Linked DNA regions of Astyanax mexicanus. The protein of the gene in region 1 binds, or shares a complex with, the protein of each later gene. Links are inferred from orthologs where the notes say so. Each region holds a gene or a part of one and is shown on either strand. Other genes may lie near its edges.

Region 1 (7,644 bases):
AATGAATAATAGAGAGATATTTGCTTTTTAAAAATCAGGGTTAGATTTGACAGTTTTAATAGATATTTGATGATCTAAATGAGCACAATGTTTAGGTCATTCTGGGCTGTTGCCATAGAAATACCAGTTTTTTTAAACTGCAGTTTTAACCTTAAACAAATACATTTTTCAAGTTCTAATATGAAGGGTTGAAAATAAGTTTGTTTAACACATCTTTATCTTTACATTCTAAAGTCTAACTTTATAAGAAACCTGGAATTTGATTTTCACATACTGGGAAAGCTTCATTTGCCTCAATTTCTAATGGTATATAGAACCATCTACAGTATATTTCCCACCAATGTGAAGGACCTGTTAATTACCTAAATTGTTCTGCAGCGTGTGATGTTTGTATATAGAACCACTGCCTTTACTAAAGAACCATTGAAGAACCCTTGTTTTAAAGAGTGTAGTTCTCCACGGATGTTTTATTGTGTTTCAGGGTTTTATTCCAACAGGTAAAGACATTTTAATTTTTTTTTCATTGTTCTGGAAAGGTTTAAAGGCTATTTAACAGCATCATTAGTGCCACATTGCCACCTTCTGGAGGTCTTCAGGAAGAGCTTCTTAAACACTACATAGCATAGAAGTATTTCAGTTGTTTGTTTGTTTTTAAATATTACTTAAATAAAATGTTGTGATTCATGAGATAATATGCTTTATGTTCACCAGCAGTAACATAAACAATACATTGCTCAATTATTTTACATAACTACATCAGAGAAATGCACTGGAACAGTCCATCCCCTGCATATGTGCCAATTGTTTATTTTTGTTTTCCATTCGGAACTTGTGCCAATAACGTTTGGTCGCTGTATTGAAACCCATAAAGGTTTATTTATACTACTCGTCGTGTTCTTCTTTACTTGTATTCTGTGCAGTTTTATGGTTCGGTTTGGTTTTGTCATGTATGTTGTCATTATATTTAGTTTAGCCCAAATACAAAAAATGATCAGCCAAAACTTTTGATGCCATAATGTTGCTGCCTTTTGCATTGTAATGTCAGGCCAGTGTAGCTAACAAGTAATATAAGCTTATAATCAGTTATCAGTGTACTGCATGAAAGGTTAAATTAACCACTACCATTGTTTTTAGCTAATGTACTTTTTAATAAATGCAGCATTGTGTAGCATTCAACCTTAAAATAACAGCTTCAAAATCATTCTGGTGAATCATTTATCTAGCATTGCTCCTGATGCTGATACCTGCACTATGTAACTTTGGTGAAGTGGCCAGAACACTATATAACTTGAGTCATAATTGTGTCAAATCCTGCAATATCCTGGTTCTGTATCTCTCAGTTCGGCAAGAAAAACCTGTTCTTTAGCTCTTGTGCAAAGAAGGAATTCCTGAAAGTAGGAGCACAAAGGCAAGAAATGCCAATTTTTCTATTGTCTTGCTTTAAAACACAGGACTGTTGTGCTATTATGTTTGGGTCCAGGATGACATGATTGTGTCACAATTTCTAATGAACACTTTCATAATGCTTATTTTCAATTCAAGCACAAAATGTACCTTTGGTTTCTGCAGCCAAGGAGTTCTATTCTGCTCACTAAAACATATCAAGCTTCATTAGGTAGTTCCTGAAAAAAAATCTTTGGGAAATTTGGGAAGAGGTTTCTCCTGGTAACTCATGAAGTCATATGCATGAAGGCTATATTTGAACTAGGAATTGCTGAACAGTAGAACAGAGCACTATCACTCCAGGGACTAGATATTTTGATGATCTTTAGCAGGAAAAGAGCCTTTCAGATTTGCTTGCCTTTTCTTAAATTCCACAAGCAGTTCTCTTAGAAATGTTATGTTTTTCAGTCCTCAACATTAGCTGCACTATTTCTGATAACTGTCATATCTTATTTACATTATGATTACAAAAAAACACTGTCACATCTTATTTACATTATGATTGCAAAAAACTGATTGTTAAGACAAGATTTTGAGATGTCAGGGTATTTAGAAAGTTGTGAAATGTTATGACTGGAACCAAGCTATAGTTTTTAACAAGTTATTAAAAGACCTTGGTAAAAAATTGATCTGAAAGCGTAACTCTGTTGGGGTGCCTAAACCCCCTTTTAAAATGTAAAAACAAATTTAAAAATGCACTTAACTTGCCTAGAATGTTGATAGAATGAGCCATTTTAACTTTTTTAAATAACTTTGTCCTAATTGAACTATTTATAGTAACATGCATTTTGGCCAGGGTCAAGGTTACCTTTGGAGACAGTAGAGATCCTGACTGGCTATTCTTAACACTATGGATTAGGGGCTTGTGTTGGGCTGGTCCAGGCACTAAGCCGATCAAGTGCTTGGCATATGGCTGTTCGTTTCTAGGGGCACAACTTTTTCAAAAACAGGATTAAAAAAGAGAAATGTGCCAAAGTTGCACTAGATGGTAAAGGCATTGTGTTTTTAAAACAAAATTGTTTTTAAGTGTTTCGCTATCTCTTTATTTTTAGCTAATAAGACCACCTACAGTGTGATATAAACTTGGGTAAACACTATTAAAATCTTTAAGACTAGAAATATGATAGACCGCAATATGATGTTTAGTGTTTTCAATCCTGGTGCTGGGGCACCCTGCCTAGCACATTTTAGGGAATTCCTTGCCTTTACAAACCCACAGTCACTCTGAAAAGACGTAACTCAAAATTAACTCATTAACAGAATCGGGTGTGCGGGGAGAAGAGAAACACTGTTCTGTTGCTTAAAAAAGATAATAGTGCACTTGAATAATTGTTGCCAAACAAGGCTGTATCCTGTGTCTGTGTTGTTTCCTAGACAGTGACTTGCAGATATGTAGGCTTACCAGTATCTGCATGCATATCTGAGATGTGCTTTAAAAGCACAAAGAAGTCATGTTATGTTGTATTAGCATTAGCCATTTCTATTTCTCTACCAATACAATTGTATTAAAAAGGTAAACTGTAAATATGTATATATATATATATATAGCTACATTACCTATTTCTTTTGAGAAATATTTTTATGAAAAAATGTCTTTTTGCAATAAATTGATATGATGTGCTCTCCATATTAAAACATTTTAAAAATGTGTCTTACTGAGTGCCCATCTATTGGGGCTCTTCTGCTCTTTCCATTAGAAAAAGATACTTTTATAATGTGCCTCCTATTCCACAACTACTAGATAGTGTACTGTATATACAGTAATTCAGTTTAAAATGTAAAACTCATATATTATATAGATGTTTTACACACAAAGTGATCTATTTTAAGCTTTTATTGTTGATGATTATGTCTTATAGCCAATGAAAACCCAAAAATCAGTGACTCAACTGGTACTCTATAAAAGTTGTCAGCAGAGGGAAGAATGAAGTGCTGTAAGATTTTGTACGAAAACGCTGCACTGACTTTAGACTTGATAATAAAACACAGTGGATCAACACCAGCAGATCACATGACTCCCCAAACCATCACTAATTGTGGAAACTTACACTAGTCCTCAAGCAGCTTGGACTGTGTCTCTCCACTCTTCCTCCAGACTCTGCTCCCTTGCTTTACAAATAAAATGTAAAATTTACTGATGATCAGTGACGGTTTGGAGAGTCATATTATCTGTAATATGTAAGTTTCACATTTTTTACTGAATTACTAAAATACAGTAACTTTTCAATGATATTCAAATTTTTTTAAGATTCACCTTTTAAGATGCTACCAAACTTTGCTGGAAATTGACCCTCCAGGCCTGGAGTTGTGCATTTCTGGGATTGACAGAATGTGTTGTTTCAGGCAGTCAAAAAATTGTCAATTTATGACCATAAAAAAGTCTCTGGGATAGTGTAATGTTGGTCAGCACGGGCGTTTGTAAGCTGGTGTATCAGAGCTGAGTCGCTGCACTTTCCTCTGAGTGTTCTGACTACCTATTGATTCTGCATCAGTGGCGGTTAGTAAAGAGGTAGTGTGTGACTTCACATGTTTCAGAAGACGCAGATGCTAGTTTTCACTCGACTGGTGTTTGGGAGCATTTACAGAGATAGGGAGTCCTAATGTGAGGGTCAAGAAGTCTGGGAAAACATGAGAGAGCTTGGTGTGAAGTTGGAGTTATATGAGAAATCTATGATGTATGTCATTTTTAAGGACAATGTGTCAAAAAAGTTACAAGAATTATATTGGTGAATTGTATGTGTGACAAATAGTAAGATTTGTGAGACAAGGTATTTGATTGTAATAAAACAAACACAAATACCTGCACAGGCTGTTTTTAAACAAATAAAGTGTCAATTAAAAAAGGAGGGGTAAAGATAAATATCCTTGGGACGCTTTAGAAATATGATGAGTATTTTAATTAATCATTTTTTAATGTGCTCTTTTTTCTCTCTCCCCGTGTAAAAGATCTCTGTAAACCATGCTATTGATTTATTTTTTTTTATTCTCAGTGTTGAAATGTGTTAAGTCTAATTTTACAGCGATACAACGTTCCTGTCAGTCCCTTTGGCAGTTATAGACATATCAAAATCTCATTTTGGTTTAACAAAGCCCTTCTCTGGATATAATCAGTTTTCTCACCTTGTTCACTACTTGTGTGTACTCCTCCAGCAGGGGGCGCAACCCCGCCCGCCCGGTCAGTCCGCTCTGGTGTTTTCAGCTTTCGTCACATCCGGCAGATCCAATGGCGAGATGTGAGCAGCGAGGAGGAAGCAGCTGATCCGGTACGAGTTTAATACCTCAGTTTATACAGTTTATCTCCTTACAGCAGTGCTCACACCTCTGTGTAACTGTGTAACTACTGCCTGAACACAGAGAGAGAGAAAAAGAGAGCTGTGCCAGCCTGTCCGCTGTGTGAGGACACGCTCAGACACAGTGAGAGATACAGAGTGCAGAACCGGTTATGTACTGAGTCTGACTCCTTTAAAACACTGAACAACGGGACGAGGAGGATTCTTTTTAGTGGTTTTCAGTATTTAAATGTGTTAATTAGCCCCTGAACACAGGGAAAAGGCTGAACTCTTGAGTCAGTAGACAGTCAGACTGTCAGTAATGTCTCCACCCTCTTCCTGTAGCTGTTGTTCCTCCTCCAGCTCTTTTCTTTTCATCACTGCTCCTCTTGACTGTCATTCTGTACCGTTATGATTAAAGCGGATTTGTATTTACAGGTTCAGCACTACTATTATTATGTTTTTTTTTATCCGAAATAGAACTACACACATAAAAACCGAAGGTTTGCTGTTGAGTATTGTAATGACTGATGGTGATACATGTCTGAACTCAGAGTGAAGCACTGGAACTAAAAGGACAGATCTCTGAAATTTTACTAGTAGAAACTCTCATTTCGGATATTAACTCTAAAATGTTTACTAGTAACAATATCCTATATACAGAACTATAAATACATTCTGACCAGACTTACTACCAGGATGATATATCCTTTATGTAATTTGGAGTAATACAAGTATGCATTTCAGACATTTTTATCATTATTTCTTATTATTTATGTTCTGACTAGTCTTAATATTATCTTAATATTTGTAAAACTAGATTTTTTACTAAATAACATGCCACAATTGATTATTTTTTTCAGTTACTGATCTGTGGATTGATACAGAAGTGTCTATATTGCTGTTTTTTTTTAAGTTGCCCTCCCCAAAATGAAGGATAAAAATGTTTTTTCTATGATTTTTCTATGCTCTGTCTTTTTGATTCAGAAGGAAATGATTAGAATAAAAATGTGTAGGATATAAACTACTTTTGTTGTCACACTTGATTCATTTTAAATTTCACTGTACAATCTGGCTATTTAATGTTAATACAAAGGCTGTATACAAATTTACTAGTCCATGCTAAATTCATGAATTCCTCTTTTTACATAAATGAGACGGCTTTTAAAAATATCAGAATTGGTAGATCAATGAAAGCTGTCTCATTACATCAAAATGAAAAGTGTGTTCAAACATTTCGACTCAATTAGAGAATTCTGAGTAGACATTTTGAGTTTTAACCTATTCTTTCTATTTATCAAGCTGCTAAAGTACTGTATGACTGTATAAGTCACCTTAAAAAGGAAAGTGTAAACTCACCAAATCAGAGAAAAAAAATCTGATTACTCAAATCACTTGAGGTGTTTCAAGATGCATTGAAGTGTAATATTCTCTCCAAGACAAATAAAACTCCTCCCAATATAACCAAAACACAAGTAATAATTGCTGCGTAAACTTTTTAGTTGGATGTAATCTAGCCATAGTCATTTGAGGTCACCAGGTGAAAACAGGGTCTATGTTTTCTAGTAAATTCACATGGTGTATTATAGCTTCATAATCCATATGTCATTTTGCAGGCGATGGGCGCAGACAGTGGTCCGGGTGCTCCCCCAGCAGTCCCGTGGCGTAAAGTGCTGTATGAGCGTCAGCCCTACCCTGACAACTATGTGGACCGCCGCTTCTTGGAGGAACTGCAGCGCAACATCGGTGTCCACCAGTACCGCTACTGGGCTGTGGTGCAGGAAGCAGGCCTGGTCGCTCAGCAGGTCTCCTGTGTAGCCGTTTTTCTCACATTATGGTTCTACATGGATCAAGGAGACCTGGGACCCTCCACCCTGCTCTGGGCCAGTCTTGGGTGTGCACTTCTGGGTTATGGGCTCTATGAGGCTTTGGGAGGAGGCAGTGGAGAGCGTACACGCATGGCAGACCTGCAGAGCGCAGCCATCTTCTTGGCCTTTACCTATGGCTTTTCTCCTGTGCTGAAGACGTTGACTGAATCCGTGAGCACAGACACTGTTTATGCCATGTCATCCATGATGCTGCTGGCCCACCTGGTGTCCTTCCCGTACACACAGCCCAGCCCCCCAGGCAGTCTGTCCCTGAACGCAGCGCTGTTTGGCTCTGTGTGTTTGGCCTCACGGCTGCCTGGGGCCCTGCACACCTTCGCCATGCTGAGCTGTGCCCTCCTGGTGTTTGCTCTGTGGCCCTGCCTGCTCCATCGCCTCAGGGACCGGGCTGAGTGGAGCTTTCCCCTGGCTGCAGGCCTGGTGTGCACAGCTGGGGTCGGAGGTTTGGCAAGCCTTTGGCCAGGAGGAGCTCTTCTCCTTCTTTTAGCTCTGCTAGTGCTAACTTTAGCCTGTCCGATGCTGCTCGTGCATCTTCAGAGACACAAAGACAACATCCACGGCCCGTGGGATGAAGCAGAGATCAGAGAGGACCTCTCACGATTTTTAAGCTAACACAAACACATGTAATAGTACTATGGACCTCTTTTATACTGAAAAATTGTTAACTGTACACTGGTGAGTGTTGAGGGCTATGACAGCTGCTTATATCAGATGTTCAGCACTTTAACATAAAGGCTCAGGGAAAACTTGTGCCTACACTGACCACTCCTTTTTTAAGACTCCATCTGCTAAATGTCTAAAACTGTAAACAACGTGCACATAATCATGAACAGTATTTTTAAAATATTTAACTCTTACTAAAATACCTGGTAAAATGATTACATTTTGTTATAGTTATTTATTTGATGTGTAATAAGTCATGAAAAAAAATATGATGGTAAACAAAATTTTTGTGCTTTTATGAATTAAAACACTTTGTCATACTAATGTAAAGTTTCTGAAATGTTTTTTTTGCTCCAAACAATCGTACATCTCAAACAGTGGCA
Region 2 (7,520 bases), about 16 Mb from region 1:
TGAAAGCCTCTGGGAAGAGCCCAAGCTTTCTGAAACGCTCCTGGAGAAGGCGCTCGGCAGACTCAGAAGGCTTATCTGCAGACCATTAAAAAGCATGGATTAGTGCTGGACAGTACTTAAATGATTTCAAATCGAGATATTTAAAAGGTCCAGAACACTGACCTGAGCCTAGCAACTTGGTATGGACGGTCTCGTGAAAAATGATAACAGCAGGGCCCAAAGTGGAAAGCGGCACATCCAGACCACAGCGGGCAGTGGTGGCTTTCAGCTCCTTTGTAAAATGCTTTAAATAAGCATCTGAAGCATCGCCCAGAAACTTAAACAGATCATCGTGAAGACGGTCGGCGTGTGTGCGGTAAATGACCAGGTCTGACACGGCCAGCACCTTCAACAGGAGACGGGTCCGCTGGCCCTGGTTTGATCCTGCTCCCAGGAGTCCCTCTGTGTCGACGACCACCACCTTATGAAGTGGGTCAAGTGCTGCCCACACTCCAACAGTGCACGACTCCTGCGTGGGGGATGTCTTGAACACTTCACGGCCTTTGAAGAACGTGTGGTTTAGGGTGTGTGATTTGCCTTCCCCAGTATTACCAAAAATGGACACCACCTTCAGCAGTTCATCCGGTACACAGCCCAGTCTCTTCACAAAGTTATCTCCACTCTTTACCTGATCACAGTAGAAGTGCAACATAGTTTACGGTCATCGCTTTTAATATGGTAAGGTGTTGAGTTTTAAAATATACTGAGAAACTAAAATTACTTCATGATATTCCTAAAAAGTAAAATCCATGTAAAAATATTCAAAAACTGTCTGCTTTATAGTTTTGTGGAGTGGATTTATTTCTAATAAACAAAAATAAATTCAGTGTTGACACTTCTTTTTTTTTTACCTCTATATTGCATATTTTCGGCACTGTTTACCAATCGTGGTTCTGAAGTAGCCCTGCACTACACTAAAGCTAAAACCAAGCAAAACTAATGAAGCTAAAACTAATGGAAATCAATGTCATCTATAGTTTTTGATCAATGCCTGCTACCACTGGTTTACCATGGTTCTTCACTGGCATGATTTAAAATATTCATTGGTATCACCTTTAGATCATCCATGATTGACTATGATTGTTCTCTTTTTTTTATTCCTTTAATTCCAAAATACTCAACGAGCAAGACAATTTACAGTAAAAAGGGCCACCCTGAAGTCAATCCTGAGAACCTATGCTTTGATTTCAGTGCACACCAACATAACATGCCTATCTCAATTTTTTTTTCTTTTTTTACTATGGGTTGGCCCCACATATACATGTCAGTGAAGGACCTTATCAGGGTCAGTGATGAGAACAGCAGGAGTAAAACACAAGCCCCATCTGGGTTGCACTGTGAACATAGATGAAAGTAAGGTGTGCTGTAATGATGAGGCACAACTGAGAAATCCAACTGGGTCAAGACAACACAAGACAAGACAACCATAGTGTTCATACTTGTGCTGGAAGCACAGGTGGAATTTGGCCTTCGCCTTTAACCCATTTGTGCAGTGAACACACACACGCATACACACACACCAGTGAATACAAACACCAAGTAACCAGTAATACAGTGAGCTCAATTAGCCAACAGTGGCAGCTTGCCAATCCAGGGTATCAAACCCACAACCTGGTTTTCAATAGCCCACTCAGAGGTCATGCCCACCTCAAACCCACCTAGCCCATATTTCATCAATGAGGGCGCCACATGAGCCTGTTGGCTTGGTGAAATGTACCAAAAAGTACAGCCCTGAAAAAAAAATAAGAGACCACTTCGAAATGATCAGTTTCTCTGATTTTACTATTTATAGGTATATATTTGAGTAAAATGAACAATGTAGTTTTATTTTATTCTATAAATCACTGACAACATTTCTCCCAAGTTACAAATGCAAATATTGCCATTTAGAGCACTTGAAAAAATGAGAAATGGTCAAAAATAATTAAAAAGGTAAAGTGCTTTAAATCCTTAAATAATGCAAAGAAAACAAGTAGATATTCATAAAGTTTTAAGAGTTCAGAAATCAATATTTAGTGGAATTACCCTGATTTTTGATTACAGCTTAATGCATCTTGGTATGCTCTCCACAAGTCTTTCACACTGCTTTTGGCTGACCTTACTCCACTCCTGGTACAAATTCAGGCAGTTCACCTTTGGCTTGTGACCAACTTACATCTTACATGATTACAATTAGAGTTTTTTTTAATGAAAGTTGTGACTAAAACTGTGGGTTATTCTACCCATTGTTGGTTCTAAACTCACCCTAAAATAAAGCTTGCTGTTTGATTGCTGTTGTTCCTAAATGCATATGAACTTGTTTTTCTTTTGTTTGCATTATTTGAGGTCAGAAAGCTCTGCATTTCTTTTTGTTATTTCAGCCATTTCTCATTTTCTGCAAATAAATGCTCTAAATGACAATATTTTTATTCTGAATTTGGGAGAAATGTTGTCCGTAGTTTATAGAATAAAACAACAATGTTTATTTTATTTAAACATATATCTATAAACAGCAAAACCAGAGAAACTGATTCAGAAACTGAAGTGGTCTCTTATTTTTTTTTTCCACAGCTGTATGTGAATCCATCTCATTCCCATACCTGCATATCCTCCTTCTCATCCACCAGCAGGAAGCTGCAGACCTTGTCCAGCTGGGCGTTCACGCGCTGCAGGTCCTCGTCAGCATCAGAGTTCATGTTGGCCTCGGGGGGTTTGCAGGGCGGGTAGGCAGAGAGGGGGTGCTTTCTTTTACTCACGCCGCTGTGAGTGCGCTTCTGGCAGTCCAGGCACAGGTTGATCTTGCAGCCCTGACACCTGACCACGGCCCTGAGGCGAGAGCCGTTGGCAGGACAGCTGCCGTCGCCTTTGCAGGAGTCGCAGAAGGGTACGTGGCCCTGGGAGATCCGGACGCGGTCGTGGTTCCTCATGCGCTCCTGCCGGTGCAGCTCCAGCTCGCAGCGGGCGCACTGCAGGCTGCCGCACTCGTCGCACTCGAAGGCGGCCTCATCCGAGCCGCCGCAGGCGTAGCTCTCCTGGCAGACCAGGGCGCCGTTCACTCCCTGCCCGCTCATCCTGGAGCCACAACTCACTGAATTACAAGCAACTTTAACTTAGCTAACGTTAGCTAACTTGCTCAGACCTCGAAACGCACCTGATGATAATAACCGTTCATTAGAACCATTGAAATTATTGCTTGATCACGAACTCAACCTAACTAGTTATCTGCTTTAAAACCAGTCTGCATAAGAGAAACAATAATAAATAAATACAAAAACACCACACACCCACCACTTAAGGCTATGACACTGACTCCAAACCTTACACGCACTAACCCAACTAAATTAGTTAACTACTAAACTATTGCACCAGTTTAAAAGTTTAAAGCTGCTCTTAAATCCACTTTTAATCACAACCTGAAATAACACCATGTATCCACCACAGATATTTACAGCTAGTTAACTTAACTAGATAAGCTAGCTAAAGTTAGTTACTGAACTTATGACACCGCTGGAACAACGCCCAGATCATTCCATTTGCAAGCTACCTTGGTTAACTTTAGCTAGTTAACTTAACTAAGCTAGTTAACAAATTAACTTGTAGTAAATTAAGTAAGACTCTATCTTTAGAATATTATTAGATAAATCTAACCTAAATTAGGACCATAGATGGATTTTGTTTAAAAATATTTAACTTTTGTAACTAATGACACTCTAGAAATTGATAAATTATCTATCTAGCTAGTTAACCTATCTTTTTTTTTTTTTAGCTAATTGGGTTAACTAAACAAGCTATCACACATACTGGCCTTTAGTATCTTAGGGAACGTTACTGTATATTTAGCTGGCTATTAGCTCCCTAGCTAGCATACTGCCCCGCCACAGTCCCATCTGCTCAAGCGACCATTAGCAGCTAGCTAACTAGCTCAGCTAACTTAATGATAGTCCGTGGTTTAAATAAACAACATCACCAACCTCTCAAAGCCGCTCTCAGCTCTCATATCTAGCTACACCCTGCAATATCACCCTGATAAACGCCACAGGCTACGAGGACGGACGCGGACGGACGTGTTGAGCTTTTGTTCAACAAGCTAGCAGCATTAGCATTTCGTTAACAGGAGGAAAAAGGATACTGCCCTCTAGCTAACACTCAATGACAACAAATAATAGACTTTCTTTAATAAATACACAAATATTAGACAGGCCTGACTGGCTCCGTGCGCCCAGCTGCGTTTAAAACGGTCTGTGAAGCGCGTTTATCCCAAAACAACAACAACAACAGCAGCAGCAGCAGGAGCTCTGGGGTCTGCGGTCAGCAGCCTTCCTGACTTAGCAAAACAGCACAACAAATCTGTATTTCGAGCGAGACAGCGGCGCAGTTTTCACCAGACCGGCCGCAGGAACACACACAGCAGCGCCCGGGCTGTCTCTGGACAGATTTACAGTCTGGACAGGAAGGTCGAGCCGCTTGTTTTGAGAGCAGCTGGTTAGCTGAATAATTCCGCTGGCCGGTTGATTTCGGAGAGTGTTGTTGCCAAGTCACATCAGCTGATCGACTTTGTTTTCAGCCTGAAGGTCGGAGGGGAACGGCTGCTGCAAGGTGAGTAGGGAAATGTAGTGAAAAACCGAGGGAAAAGGCGGCTAACGAAGCTAGTTTGCTAACCCATCTATTTAACCGCTGTTTCTTATCGTCCCTGTTAACGTCTTCTGTTTTTTTTTATGCAGTAACACTGCACTCTTTCAGCAATGCCATGTGTATTAACTATATTAGTGATGCTAAGTGTTTTAATGTATTACATTTTACCGGATGAATAGGATAATCTATGGAAGGTATAGAGACTTATTACATAACTTATTTTTGAAATAACTCGTCATAAATTTTAATTATATTTCTTTTATCATTCTAATTTTACAATAACAACTAGTTAACTTAGTGTCCCCAGCTAGCATAGCCCTGTCAACTCATTTTAATGAGGTGTGGCAATAGGAACAGTGTCTGATGAGTGTTTAATAAGGCAGCTTACATCTGCTCAGTTTATGTATAAGCTAATGGTGTTTTTTTTTGTTATTTTCTTACTAATAGAGTTACTTGAGTTTATGTATTTATTTTATGAGTGTATTCAATCAGGTAATTTGTTACAGTTAAACAGTTAAACCTATACTACTACTACTACTACTACTACTACTACTACTACTACTAATAATAATAATAATAATAATAATAATAATAATAATAAAAAAGAATAAGAAAAATAATAATTATATTAATAAGAAAAATTGTCGACCAAACTTAAGACTGTAAATACATTTTTAATTCCGCAGTGGCATAAAAAAAGAAATCTTGCTTTAACATGTCAGTTTAAACGTGGTAAAACTCAATTTCCCATGATGCACCGTGTTTTTTAAGGTCGCCAGGTTCTGTTCTATCGATGTGAACTGATACTCGCCGAGGCTTCATAGACATTAGTAAATATCTGGTTATATTTGGACTGTCTTTATGTACTGTATTACAGGCTTTAATCAGTATTGAACACACTTCTGTGTTGGTGAGGCGTCTTTCTGACGGGTGTTTCAGCGCTGGTTTGTGACAGCTGAGCTTGTGCTGCTGTCTGCTCCCGTCATGGCTGAAGAAGGACCGTTTACAGACATCAGCGGTAAACCCATCTCGCTGGAGTGTCAGAACTACACTCCTTTCTGCAGAGAGTTCACTGTCAGCTCCCCGAAGGTCTCTCTACTCAAGGTGATGGGGTACACCTGCTCCGTCTGGCTGCTCGCCTACGCCGTGTTCTTCCTCACGGAGGTACGTAAGTTAGCGTAACTTGCTAGGTTAGCTTCGCTAGTTAGCTAACATGACCTAAATACACTGTTGTTTTTTTGCAGTGTTGTACACTGTAAAAATGAAAAGAACAGAACCGTTTAAGTTTTGAAAAAGAAAAAAGAAAGAAAAAGAAAAGAAAAGAAATACTTTTTTTTCATATGCATAAAACTTTAAATATTAATTCTCACCAACTTTGAAGTTTACTTTGTGTTGTTAGTTTGACTCATTTAGGTTCTATGATGTGTTTTGTAAGTTCCGCTGTCTATCCATTAAGGTCACGTTTTACATAAATCAAACTCGCATAATGAGCACTATATTGTTTGTTAATATAAGTTAGCAACTGAGAATTTATGACTATTTTATATCTGTCTTATTGTCAGTCATATAAGTATTGCGGTAATGCAAACAGAACCAGCTGGTACCAGACAGCCTTCAACACTGAGGCCAGGCAGCTACTATTATATAACACATAAGTGAAGACCAAAAGAAGACAGTCTGTGGAGAATGACTGCACACTGATGGTGAGTGAGAGATGGGAGGACACACCCAATATGCAAATAGCATGACCAACATCAGGTGAAAAGCCCCTGCAGAACTGCTCAGTAGACCCTGTTTAACTGAAGAGTAAAACTGAGCAATGTGCAGTAGTGCAGAGTAGTTGGCTTGGCCTCAACTAGGGTTCAACTGCAATTTGTAAAATTTGCCACACAAATGATTTAGTCAGACCAACTTTTAACAAAAAACGTAATAATGTTAGTTGAGGCAACTAGTTTGCTATAGTTTATGGTGCAATTCAATATTTCTTGTTCAGCTGACTTAAAAATCACAGCAAGAAGAACAATTTTGAGTTTGGTTTTTACAGTGTACAGAGAGTACGTACCCTAATGTGACGTAAAAAAATAATAATATAAAAGAGATAATGCGTGGCCACGACTTATTAAAGCATGGGAACGCATTTCCACGCTTTAATAGGTCGGTCACGCATTATTTCCTTTTCTTTTATTATTTTTATTTTTTGCATGATTTCACATTAGGGGCACTGTAGTGTTTTCATGAATAGTTAGTTAGCGTTACCAAGCCTTACATTAGCTACTACTGTGTCAATCAGTAAAGTACTAATAAAATATATGTATGAGTGTATGTATAAAATAGAAAAAGATTAATAGTTAGCACATTTATTGCATGTATATACAAACAAACTGTAAATACACTAGGTGGCAAAATAAATACTAAATAGACTGCTAAATATCACTTTCATCACATATTTTATAATGTAAAAAATGTTTGTGATATTACTGCTAACGATATGATTTGGCGCTCACCTGTAACACCCTCTTCTTTAGTCACATTCTCACATAGGGGTCCGTCCTAAAATGGCAAGAATCCAGCACAGTTCAGTGATTTTGTTGTTGATTAGGGTCAACTCAGTCAATCAGTTATATTGCTGCCAAGCTTATTCCTCATCCCCTGTGCTTGAGTTTCAGTGGGTTAACTGGGTTTCAGGTGAGCACAAGCACAGTCGGTTTAAGATAGGGATGCACTAAAATGCACTAATCTTCTAAACTGTGGATCAAATTAATGTACCTTGAAATAAAAGCTGAAATGTTGAACTTTTGTATCATATTCATCTTTTAAGGTCAAACCCAAATGTTTTCAGTCTTCAACAGAAATAAAGGGATTGGCATCGC

What was found.
Region 2: pigc (region 1) and pigh share a complex: the UniProt entries of both Homo sapiens proteins name them as parts of the glycosylphosphatidylinositol-N-acetylglucosaminyltransferase (GPI-GnT) complex. The link is inferred for Astyanax mexicanus from reciprocal best matches to the Homo sapiens genes PIGC and PIGH.

The regions. Positions count from the first base shown.
Region 1 is NC_064408.1:62,448,520-62,456,163, forward strand, and holds pigc (phosphatidylinositol N-acetylglucosaminyltransferase subunit C), read left to right. Parts: upstream 1-4,596; 5' UTR 4,597-4,706; intron 4,707-6,328; 5' UTR 6,329-6,331; coding exon 6,332-7,210; 3' UTR 7,211-7,585; downstream 7,586-7,644. UniProt on the Homo sapiens protein: Part of the glycosylphosphatidylinositol-N-acetylglucosaminyltransferase (GPI-GnT) complex that catalyzes the transfer of N-acetylglucosamine from UDP-N-acetylglucosamine to phosphatidylinositol and participates in the first step of GPI biosynthesis.
Region 2 is NC_064408.1:78,401,501-78,409,020, reverse strand, and holds the start of pigh (phosphatidylinositol N-acetylglucosaminyltransferase subunit H), read left to right. Parts: upstream 1-4,502; 5' UTR 4,503-4,614; intron 4,615-5,399; exon of another isoform or gene 5,400-5,527; 5' UTR 5,528-5,634; coding exon 5,635-5,814; intron 5,815-7,520. Other genes in the region: zfyve1 (zinc finger FYVE domain-containing protein 1), read right to left, coding at 1-75, 163-667, 2,619-3,089. UniProt on the Homo sapiens protein: Part of the glycosylphosphatidylinositol-N-acetylglucosaminyltransferase (GPI-GnT) complex that catalyzes the transfer of N-acetylglucosamine from UDP-N-acetylglucosamine to phosphatidylinositol and participates in the first step of GPI biosynthesis.